2 linked regions of the Arabidopsis thaliana genome follow. The protein of the gene in region 2 interacts with the protein of the main gene of each other region in a pairwise test. Each region holds a gene or a part of one and is shown on either strand. Other genes may lie near its edges.

The links.
Region 1: the proteins of UGT72E1 (region 2) and AT1G73660 interact in a two-hybrid assay, tested with the Arabidopsis thaliana proteins (one study listed by BioGRID).

What each region holds. Positions count from the first base shown.
Region 1 is NC_003070.9:27,691,368-27,698,944, forward strand, and holds AT1G73660 (protein tyrosine kinase family protein), read right to left. Parts: upstream 6,006-7,577; 5' UTR 5,352-6,005; coding exon 4,791-5,351; intron 4,698-4,790; coding exon 4,257-4,697; intron 4,175-4,256; coding exon 4,071-4,174; intron 3,933-4,070; coding exon 2,770-3,932; intron 2,687-2,769; coding exon 2,646-2,686; intron 2,534-2,645; coding exon 2,465-2,533; intron 2,372-2,464; coding exon 2,271-2,371; intron 2,007-2,270; coding exon 1,928-2,006; intron 1,836-1,927; coding exon 1,737-1,835; intron 1,628-1,736; coding exon 1,559-1,627; intron 1,460-1,558; coding exon 1,410-1,459; intron 1,317-1,409; coding exon 1,140-1,316; intron 1,019-1,139; coding exon 880-1,018; 3' UTR 526-879; downstream 1-525. Other genes in the region: AT1G73655 (FKBP-like peptidyl-prolyl cis-trans isomerase family protein), read right to left, coding at 116-414. UniProt on the Arabidopsis thaliana protein: Acts as a negative regulator of salt tolerance. Mediates sugar response during early seedling development.
Region 2 is NC_003074.8:18,854,495-18,858,749, forward strand, and holds UGT72E1 (UDP-glucosyl transferase 72E1), read right to left. Parts: upstream 2,547-4,255; 5' UTR 2,318-2,546; coding exon 854-2,317; 3' UTR 549-853; downstream 1-548. UniProt on the Arabidopsis thaliana protein: UDP-glycosyltransferase that glucosylates coniferyl aldehyde to form coniferyl aldehyde 4-O-glucoside. Glucosylates sinapyl aldehyde to form sinapyl aldehyde 4-O-glucoside. Is not active in presence of coniferyl alcohol or sinapyl alcohol.

The sequences.
Region 1 (7,577 bases), on a different chromosome or scaffold from region 2:
TGAGCTCAAGTCTTTGATTGTATTATCAAATCCCTAATTGCTAACATTCACTTAAATTTTCCATCTTTAGTTCTTAACAAGAGAATAATTCGAAGTCTTGATGAGTAAGAGTAACCTTGTGTTATCCTCTTCCTGAAACACATCGAGTCGTGACTTCTTCATCTGCTCGGAGACAACACCGAAAGCTAAAAACCCAGCCCAGGTAAACCCGGCGCCGATTCCGAACCGTCGCGTCACCGGAGAAGTAATCCAATCCGTCAATTGCTGCTCCTGCAATGTGACCACCGCCGTTGGTTGTGGATTCTCCGTGAATGTGACGCTTAGCGACTGCGATAGAAGACTCTGTTTCGGATGTTGGGATGGAGAGACGAAACGGTGGTGAGAAGGAACCGTCGCAGTGAAGAGAGTCGCCATTGTCAAAGATTTTTCGTAAAAGCAAAGTTTTTTAAAATATTATATTATTTTGATTCATATATCCCAATAATAAAGATCAGCCTTATCTTGTTCGTGTGATGAATAAAGACAGAGCTCAATGATTTTTTTTAATATATGTTTTCGGTCAACGTTTCGACGAGTTTGTCAATTGTTTTTTCTTTCTCTCTTTGTACAGTTTCAATATTGGAAAACAAAATAGAGGAAATTACGCATGAACATGAACATCGCTTGCAAGCAAAGACAACAAAACACACGAGCACAATCCTTCACCTTCTTCAATCGTCATCTTCCATGAATCTTTCTTTTTCACAATTCACAAGCTGTGTCAAACACTGAAGCTGAGGCAAAAAGTAGCAGAGAAGGAACATTTGTAGCTTTTTTTTCCTTCAAACAGATTGAATTCGTCAAAAATGTGTTTGCCACTTTGGTCGTCTTCTTCTGTTATCAATCCTTTTGTTCATGTTCAGTTGGTAATGAAGAGGAACTGGGGACTGGTCTTGGGATGTTGGAACCTGTTACAGGTTTCTGTAGCCGCTTTAGAGACGCCATTATCTCTGCAAAACTTGGCCTTAACTTTGAATCCCTGATAAACACACACAAAGCCATTACATGTGTTAACTGAGACATGGTCAAGTGAAATGATGTTGTTTAAGCACTGCTACTTCATATTGTGGCTGAAACATTGAAAAATAATCTATACTCACGTCTGCCAGCATTTACTGATGAGATCTGCAATTGCTGGATCTACAAAGTCGGGAATGTCAAGACGTCGATGCTGAAACCCAACTGCCCCAACTACTTGCATCGGGTTCATCTTTCCCCACGGTTGTTGTAACGTAAAGAGTTCCCATAAGATCACACCGTAGCTGTAAACATCGCACCTGTTTCACGTATTGTTTTTTCCTGACATTAGGCCTGCTTCTGACAAAAGGGAACAAAATGAATATCTAGTAGCAAAAGATCTAAGAGCATACTTCTCATCAGCAGGTTCGTTTCTTAGCACTTCTGGAGCCATCCATTCAGCCTTTATAAGACCAACACATAATTAGATTAACGAACTGGCAATTACAATAACTGTAAAAAGAGATGATTAAGACAGGGGAGACTATAACTTGCTTCTTACCGTCCCTGCTGTTGACTTTGAAGAGAGGTATGTACTGTGTTTCATCCTAGACAATCCAAAATCACACACCTGATATATATGAAAATCCAGTATTTGTTATGTAAACTTATAGCTGTTACATACGATATAACATTATCCACTTGGTAAGAAACAATAAATTTTATGGAGAGAATCTGACCTTCACGACCCAGTTTTTGTCAACTAGAAGGTTTGGGGACTTAAGATCGCGATGGACAATCATCGGATTACAGCTGTGCAAATAGTTCATTCCACGAGCCTGAATACAAGTAATATGTTACCTCAACACTCTACTGAAAGAATCAAGAAGTTACAAACAGGTGATATAGTAAGAGAAGAAAAGACTAATACAGCATCAAGGGCCATTCTCAGGCGCCTCCTCTCGTCTAATTGGTTATTTGGCCGGTGGATTAACCTATACAAGCTACCTCTGCACAAGTTTGGAAAAAAATATTATAATGTAAAGATCCAAAAACGAAGCACAACCGGATTGAACCTGTTCAAACCATCCAGATTTTAGAACTTAAAGCAAATACTTGAACAACACTCATTGATGCAAAGAAGATTTTGGCATTTAGAGGTCACAAAATAGATAAAAACAGAGGCATGCGCATCATGAATAAGGAGATGGAAATCGTTGTAGCCATGAGAATCATATCAAAGTAACTGAATCTTGCAAAGATCATAGTATTACCTAGGAAGAAACTCTGTAACAATTGAAAGATTCGGTGGGCGAGTCACAGCTCCCATGAAGAGAACAATGTTGGGATGTCTTAGCTTTTTCATGATTCGGACCTTGTATCACAAGAATATATAAGAAGGGTTTGATATAGAACTAATCAACATGGAAAATCAGGTAAAAGAAAAGATTAGAAGAAAGGCTCGTACCTCACTTCTGAATTCCTCCAATGCTTCTCCTGTTAAATCTTGATCAAGGAACTTCTTGACAGCCACTTCCTAAAGTTCAAGAGTTTCGACGATATGGAACTCAAACTAAGGAATTTCTAAACTCTTTTTTCATCGAGTTCAAATTCACAGTATAAATTGGAAAAGCAAATATAATACTCACAGTCCCGTGCCAATCTCCCCGATACACTTCTCCATAAGATCCTGTATCAAAAGAAGTAAAGTAGTTAATTATTTGAAGATGTAGTTACACCAAAGCAGATAACAGATGATGATAAGTCAGGTACCAAGTCCAATACGTTCTCCCACAGTAATTTCTTCCCACAAAATCTCACAGTCAGATACATCATCACAGTCTGACTTAGAACTTTCATTGCCAATAGATTTGTCAGATATTCTTTCCCCTCCTGAATTTGGCCCATGATTAGAGTCCCCACTACCTTGAGGCTCATGCCCACCAGAACCATCATCCCCGTCGCTATTCGAGCCTAATTCAAGTTGCCTGGACACGGCTGCAGCTGTTGCCACAACTGCAGCAGCAGTGGCCGTGGCAGCAGCTGCAGCAGGAAGTTCTATGGGGGAGGAGTCTGAGTTTGCAGACTTGGCAGCAGCAGCAGCAACCATGGAAGATGCAACAACAGCAGCTGCAGCTACAGCAGCAGGGACGGTTCTGGCATATTCTGTCGAAGATGCTTCAGAATGTGAAGAATCAGACTGACTTACAACTTTGCCATTATCACGTTGATCATGTGCATTTGTTTTAGATTGCACTCTTGGTAATGGAGGCAAAAACCTCACTGGACCAAAACCGTTTTGGTGTCTTCCTTCCTGAGTTGTCTCTAAATCTTTTCCTCTCTCTTTCTTGGCTTCAGTCGAGTTTTTGCTTTCAACAGTTGCCTCCAATTGCTGGGGATAGACTTCGGAAAATAAATTGGGAGGAGCTACAACTCCGCTTTCAAGTAATACATCATGAAGCTTCTGAGCTAACCGTGGATTCTCTTTAGCAGCATCAATCATATATTGTGAAACATCTTTGACTTTCATCCTTTGTGCAGCTGGGGAGCTAACCCCTTCAGTCCAAGAAGGTGATCTCATATGGGTGAAAGAATGAATAGGCCTGCTAGACAGATTTTGAAATGGAGCCTTTTCAACTTTCTTCTGATTTTTCACATCTTCTCTAGAAATATTTGGATGAACAATGAGATCGCCTCCACCTCCGGATTGGTTTCTCTCCCCAGAACTCTTGGTACTAGAACGATGTTCCCCTGTTCGAAACTCTGTATTCTCTTCATATGAGCTTTCAATACCATTGCTGGAAGAAGCTACATGAATTGAATCATTGTCTCCAGGACTAGCGGAATAGGCAGATTCATCATAGTCTATTTGTAGTCCAGCTGCATCAGCTGGAATAAGCGTGCCGGGATCTCCCATAAGATCAACAATGTACTCCCTGAAATTCACAATTGAATAGCATATAACAAAGTTTCTTTCTTTAAGCCTCAATATTAGCTTCAGGAGGTGCAGATTAGATAACAATATACATGAATGATAGACAAATATTGAATCTACACATTAATGTGATGATTACCTGCCATCATCAGCCTTAATAAAGTTCATTGCCACATCTTCAGAACCGGTATATTGCTGACCTTTGACTATTCGACAAGGAACACCAACACTATCACACAATACCTACAAAGTTTCATATAAAGAAAGAACCATAAGAAATGAAATAAACTTAAAAGTGCTGAGATTCAGAAGAAAAAGTGCATACTTTGAATAACAAGGCTCGGTGACGAGCCAAACCAATAGTCAGAGAACCAAGTGGCAAAACCATGCTTCCAAGAGTTGCTTTCAAACTATAGCTAAGACTCCTCCAAGCTCTCAACATGCTCTCTGGGTGCACGACTGGTCCACCCATGTAATCTCCCACTAAAATAGCCAGTTTCCTTACCAATTCACTATTCACAAAACCAGAGGAAGAAACTGATCTTGATTTAGCAGCAATATCAAGAGCCATCTGTTCAAGTCTCAACAGATTAGAATCCCCACTTCTGTTCACAAGAACAGCTTCCCATGTCACACCGTCTGAAACAGGTGTCCCTTGAAGATCGAGCAAAGGAGGTATTCTTTCTGCTGAGGATGCATTCAACACTCCATACAAGTCATAAAAACCATCCAAGATCTTGTCATCATAGCCAAGACAATTGTAATTCTGTGAATGCAACAATACCAAAATGAAATGAGTTCTTGGGAGTAACTAAAGAGTTTCTGTTATGCAGAGAAAACAATTGAATCAAAAGCTTACCCAGTAGCGATAAGCGATGAGTTCAGCTGGAGAGTTCTCAGGAGCACAAGAGCCTAAACTGAATTGCTTAATAGCCTCAATCTGAGTAGCCTCAGGATCTTCTCTAGCACTTAACTCTAAAGCCAACTGTATCTGATTCTCTTCTTCAACAGCTGGATCTTTGGAACCTAAATCCACATGTTCTGACCCATTAACAACAACAGTGTCATCAACCGTGGCGGCTCTGTTCTTGGCATTGAAAGAATTAGGAGGACTAGGGATTTTTCTATGACCAACAGAACTTAACCAATTAGATAAACCAGAAAAAGGTTTGATTTCAGGGCTATTGCTGTGATGAGACCTCGGTGATGATGATGATGATACATCGATAGACTTATGATGATTGCTCTTAGTTGTTGAAATTGATCCTTCAGCTTCATCTGATTGATTGGGCGAGATATGAAGTTTCTTAAGAAAGTTCTTCATGTTCATCTTCATACTCCAAATGCTAGAACAATGATCAACAGGTCTTAAAACCACTCCATCTCCCAAATTCTTCAAAGTTTCTTCTTTTACTTTCATAAACCCTAATTCCTCCCCGGAATTTAAATCAAAAGTTTGAAACTTTCACCGGAATTCACGAAGACCAATCAAAAAGAACAAAGATTTCAACTTTATTGGACTTCAAAAGGCAAAAACTTGAGACAGCAAAATTTGTAGAGAGCTTGAGCTCAAAACACACAGAATTTTTTTTTTTTTTTTGATAAATCACCAAAATGGTTAAAAGCACACACCCACTCAAATGCAGAATTTAAAGAAAAAAAGCATATGACTGACAATTTTCTCCGTACTGATATGAACCGCTAATTCTCCTCCTTCAACCAACTTGAATATGTATCTCTCTATCTATCTCTGACGCCACTTTCTCTGTCTAAAAAGTTGGACAAAGAAAGAAGTGGAGAGAGTGGCTCTTCTCTAGAAGAAAATTAAAGTTTGCATTTTTGATAATTGAGGAGGAGAGTTACTTACTGTGACATGCAAAACAAAACAGAACAAGAAAAAAGGCGTATCTTTTTCACTAAGCTTAGTGCGTGAACTTGAAAAGATGATGACGAAACATAATTAAATTGCACCAAGACAGACTTAACGTCAATTGAGGCATTTAAAACGGTTACTTTTTGTTTCTATAAACAGCATAGAATCTACATCAATTTATTCATTACTATGTCAAAAAAGAAAATTCTGAGAAAACTGTGAGATACATTTTTTGTCCTTAATTCACTAATATATAAATAAAAATACTTACGGGAATGTTTTCTTTAAAATTTTGCATTAGAACAATAAAAAAACTATCCAAAGTGGTTTAAAGCAATTTCTTTGATTCATTTTAAACGCTAGCAACCGCAAACTCAACATTTGCATATGGTAGTAGGAGAACCAATCAAGTTCTAAATCAATTTTCATTTTTCGATCAAATATATCAAAAGTCTTTTTGGTCATATAATTAAAACTGTATTTTTATTTTTTTTAATAAATAGTATAGCGTTTCGATCTTTTATACTTGTATCTCTTTTGGGAATAAAAGAAGAATAGCAATTGTCACGGCAATTAAGGACCATTAACTTTTTATATTTTGAGAATGACTAGAAATAGCTTAAGGTGTCAATTCTAAAGAAAAGACAAATGAGAATTTAACTGAATATTCACTTGAAAAGCACGTGGTTAATTGTATATTGCAGTGTCCGGTGAATCTTACTAAGATAGAGCTCAATTAATTAACGAGTTAGATAATTAGTACTCCGTTATCTTGCTTTTGATGAAACTCTATTTTCGTGAAGAGACACCGTTATCTCTTCGATCATTCAACATATCTATCACTATATACATATGTAATTAATTAGTTTATATAGTGGTTACGACTTACAACTTACAATAGAGATAGCTATGTATGTCATATATGCACAAAATATATGAGTTTATTATAGTATATGATTAATGTCAAAATATGGACAACCACACGTATGCATGTATGATTTATGTAATAGGTAATCATTGTATCTTCTTTGAACTTATTAAATGGTGTGAGCTATGAGCCAATAGTTGACCAACACGAATATTTATGATTTTTCCAGTGATCAACTCTATAGTGTCCACACGATTGTGAGGTTCAGAAACCATCAGGTAATTTTTTTTTAATGTATCATTAATTAAGGTAACTCTTTATGTGTCTTGGAAATTGTTTTCCACCATAGAAGATGATTATTTGTTGAAATAATTTATACGTAATTTTTTTTAAAAATTAAACTTTACATTTTAATTTTTATATACTGGAATGATAAATACGGTAAAAAACAAAAATATACTATTACCGTGGTTTTCATATTCATCCCCCCCCCCATTCGACTTAAATATGTTATCTACTTTTCCAACTATGACACTTCTCAAAAATCTATTTTATAGTATAAAGGATCTGTATTCCATAAAATAAAACAAGAAAAAAGGAAAACGATTGGAGGTTTTAAGTGCTCAAGGGTAGTTGGCTAACAATTCAATTTTGGGCGGCTTGAGATTTGTCCGAAAACATAAGAAAAGATTTTTGATTTGGAATAAATCTTATAGTAACATTAAAACATACAAAAAAAAAAAAAAAAGTAAATGGGGCTTGAGTTTTGTCCGAAAACATAAGAAAATATTTTTGATTTGGTATAAATCTTAGTAACATTTAAACAAACAAAAAAAGAAGAAGTGAATGGAGAGTTTCTATTTACTACACGTTATGTTTGGTTTAAGCCAATAAAAAAAAGCGTT
Region 2 (4,255 bases):
AGCATTAGTTGTTCAGTAAAAAGGAGACTAGTGTTTTACAATATACAAAAGCTGTGAAAATATGTTTTACAATTTAAGGCTGGTCCTGTTCCTTATTTCCTTTGTTACGTTTTAAATTCTTATAATTTTTACGAAGATTGTAACGAGTTTTTTTTTTTTTTTTTTTTGTAATGTTTCAACAGAAAAACGACGGTTTACAACAGTTAGAGTTTGACCCCCCCAAAAAAAGGACGGTTTACACATATATAGAAATACTCTGAAAAAATGAGAAGAACTGGAATAACAAATAGTGGAAAAAGAATTGAAAAAAAAAATGATTGAATTAAAAAGTTATAGTCGAAGATCACTTTAGCTGCGTGTTCCAAACCAAGTCAATAAGAGAGAATCATATATACAATTTGAATTTCCTAAGGAGATTAGTAATGATTAGCTAATTAAAAAAATCTTCATATATAACTAATGCAATTTTTTTGGTGAGAATATAACTAATGCGATTATCATCATCATAATGATTTTGTATATCATCAGATTCCTATACTCATGAATCATGATTTTAATTCACCGTTTCATATTGACGTCAAGTATTAAATATTAATCATATACAACCATATTTGTTACCGTTAAATAACCGAAGACTTAGCAATTAAAAAAGGAGCTACTTATTATACAAATTAAACACTAATTATTTATTTTACATTGTAAAATACATTACTGATAGGGACTAGCATTGACCAAAACAAAACCACGTGATACCATGTGGCAACCAAGACTCGGAAACTATATAATACAAGATACCCAAAAGGGTAAAACGACACGCAGTTTATAAGTAACATACTATAAACGGTAAGCGTTCCTAGGCACCACGTGCCATGCACCTGACACGCTCCAAAAGATGCTCGCTCTCGTCGGCGATTCTTGACAACGATTCATGCGCCACTCCACCGTCGCAACTCAGCGATTCGGCAGCGGTCTCTTTCAGCTTCTTTATCTTCTTTCTCATCTCAGCACCTTCCTCCTCCACCATGATCTTTCTCACCAACGCCTCGATCTCCGCCCTCGTAATCACTCCCTCCGACGGTAGTTTCTTAGAGCGGACGGCAACGCCAAGCTCTTCGTTGAGGAGTGTCGCGTTCATCATCTGCTCCGCAAAAAGTGGCCACGCGATCATCGGAACGCCACCAACGACGCTCTCGAGAATCGAATTCCAACCGCAGTGAGTTAGAAACCCACCTACGGCTTGGTGGGCCAAGATCTCCGCTTGGGGAGCCCAAGAAGAGACCATAAAGCCTCTCTCATGAGTCCGGCTAACAAAACCTTCCGGGAGATAATCAGGTGTACCGTCTCGTATTTTACCACTGTTAGCGGATAAATATGCACTGCAAGCTGAACCGTCCACCGGGGGTCGAACCACCCAAACGAACCGTTGCTGACTCATCTCAAGTCCCCAAGCCAATTCGGTTAGTTGTTTAGCCGAGAGAGAGCCACCGCTTCCAAATGAAATGTAAAGTACCGACTCGTCCGGCTGTTTGTTTAACCAATCCAAAACCGGATGATTAGTTTTAGATGGATCAACCGGTCTAGACAAAGGACCAATTGGATAAACCGGTACACCAGCAATTCGACCCAAGAGCTTTGGGTCTTGAAGAGATTTCAAAGTTTTGGGCTCCATATCATCCCATGTATTCACAATAATACCATCACACGTTGGGAAAACCGAACCGAAAGGAACAAATTCCCGGTAGAGTTGGCTGTTTGGGTCAAGGAATGTTTCAAGTGTATCTTCAAACCGAACCGGTTCACATCCAGGCATAACCATAGGTTGCTTCTTGATTATGTGCTCTTCTTCCATGTCTTTGTCCAACGTTGGGAAAAACAAAGCCACCGCGAGAAAACGTGCGTTTGAAGCGATGAAGATATAAGTCAACATGTTGAACTCACCACCGAGCGGTATCGCGTCCAAACCAAACAAGTCTACGATCAGAGCCGTTGGTTTGTGTTGCATCTCCTCTATCTTTGACCGGATGGTAGGAATGGTCTCACGCATCATGACCAAGAGCTTGATCCCAAAAAAGGCTGATGGGTCGACTAAACCGGAGATATCGGGCGTTGGGAGGCCAACGATATCAACAAGGGCCGCGTCGCAGCCTGGTGAGTTAAGGAATTGAGATTGAGCTGAGGCTGCGTCGGTTTCAAGGACGAAAATGGTGACATCGAAGCCGTGGGAACCAGCTAAGCGTTTTCCGAGCTCGATCACCGGGATGATGTGGCCCATTCCGGGGCTAGCGAACATGGCCACATGTGGTTTTGTAATCTTCATAGCCTAGATCACTGAACGTTGGCCTTTTTTTTTTTTTTTTTTGTTGTTGTTGTTGTTGTTATTGTGTCGGTTTACTCTCTCATAGTTGCAAGTGAGTTGAATATATAGAACCAAAAGACTTTATAACTCATTTGTAAGTATCTTTAAAGTCTTATCTATATATCACTTTCATTTTTTTTGTTTTATTTTTGATATCATATACCAGCTTTAATCGTTTTACAAGAAAAGTAAATATAAACATGGAAGTGTAAATGTATCTAAGTTAATTGCATCCATATCGTGTATTTATTTATATAGAAAAGAATTGACCACATAAGTTGTCGCGTGAATGATAAAAATGTTGAATGCGTCGACCAGAAGATAATAATGGTAAGCTTCCGACTTGTATATGTATATATGTGAATTACTAGCTCATAGGCCATAATGCATCATATATAGTATGTCATGTCATGTATACATAAAGATTCTTAGATGAGTTTCTTGTACTTATTAAACTGACAAACACATCGCTAAACAAATTCGAAACAGGCCATCATCGATACGAGTTATGAGATAAAAATGTTAGATAAATACTGAAGTACTGTACAAGAAGCTAAATCTTTGTATTATTATCTTTTTAAAAAAAAAATATGCACTTGATGTAAAAACGTTGGTTTTTGGGGTTGAATAAATTGTATATTCAGTTCAGAAAAAGAAAAAAAAAAAGAGAAAGAGAGTTTTCTACATGCTTGATCACATTCTCAAATAAACGTCTCTTTATGAATTTCATAAATGATGTAATAGTTATATCTTTATTAAGTATAGAATTCAAAAAAAAAAGGTTGAGTTTTATAAATTTCGTGAATTATGTCAGCAAAATGTATTACTATATACTTAGATGCTTGAACCATGCCACTGCTGTAACGTTGAAATTTGCTAAAATGATGTTGCAATTTGCTCAAACATTTAATGTTATTTGACTTATCGCAGTCTAGGTCCTCGTCATCTTGATATTTTCCCTCATTTTAAAATAATAAGTCATCTCTAGTTTTGAATTAGTTTTCGGGATAAATAGTATTTTCTCTATTTTTTAATATTTATGTTTTTTTAGAGAAAACATACATACTAAAAAAATATATATCAAAAACTGATTATTAATATATTATTTTTTGTAATTTATATTTTTTATTAATTCTAAACCAATAATATTAAATTATTTATTTTGAAGGTTGATATTCATCATTAATAACCAATTAATATTGCATACAAAATTTAAAAAATTAATTTTCTTAAAACAATTTTTTTCTAAATAATAAAATAATAAGAAATAGAGAGAGTATATATCTCATTCATGTTTTCATTTTTGAAAAACGTGATTGCGATTCATTCAGCTTTTACGGTTTAGTGTTTTGAAAACGTAATAACTAGACAAAACAAATTAAAACTAACTTTACAACGTTTTATAATTTATTCTACAAAATCTATATCTAATTCAGTTTGTTCCTCTAACAATTATTCAATTATTTCCTACCAAAAAATCTTCATTCTAGATATATTTCTATTAAAGAACAAAACACTGAGTTTACCCCAATTGAATCTTTACATCTAAGATTGCTAGTTTGCTACACAGCATAATTTGATTAAACTCGAATGAAAAAAATATCTCCTATTTATTCTTTGAAGTGTACAATTAGTTAAAAACTTAAAATAGTTGACATATCGCAACCACATTAATGCTCAAGTTCTTTTTTTTCTTTTTTCTTAACATGCATGACATCGTTTTGTAAGATGCTATGAGATTTGAGTTTAGAAACAATAAAATTACATAAAAATATGTCGTAGAAAATTGTATTGCAGAATATTATTAGCTAGTGTATATTGTTTCTTAATGCAAATCTCATATCATCCTTACAAAAAGATGAGACTATGCCCATCCGAGTACAACATGCTTGCGAAATT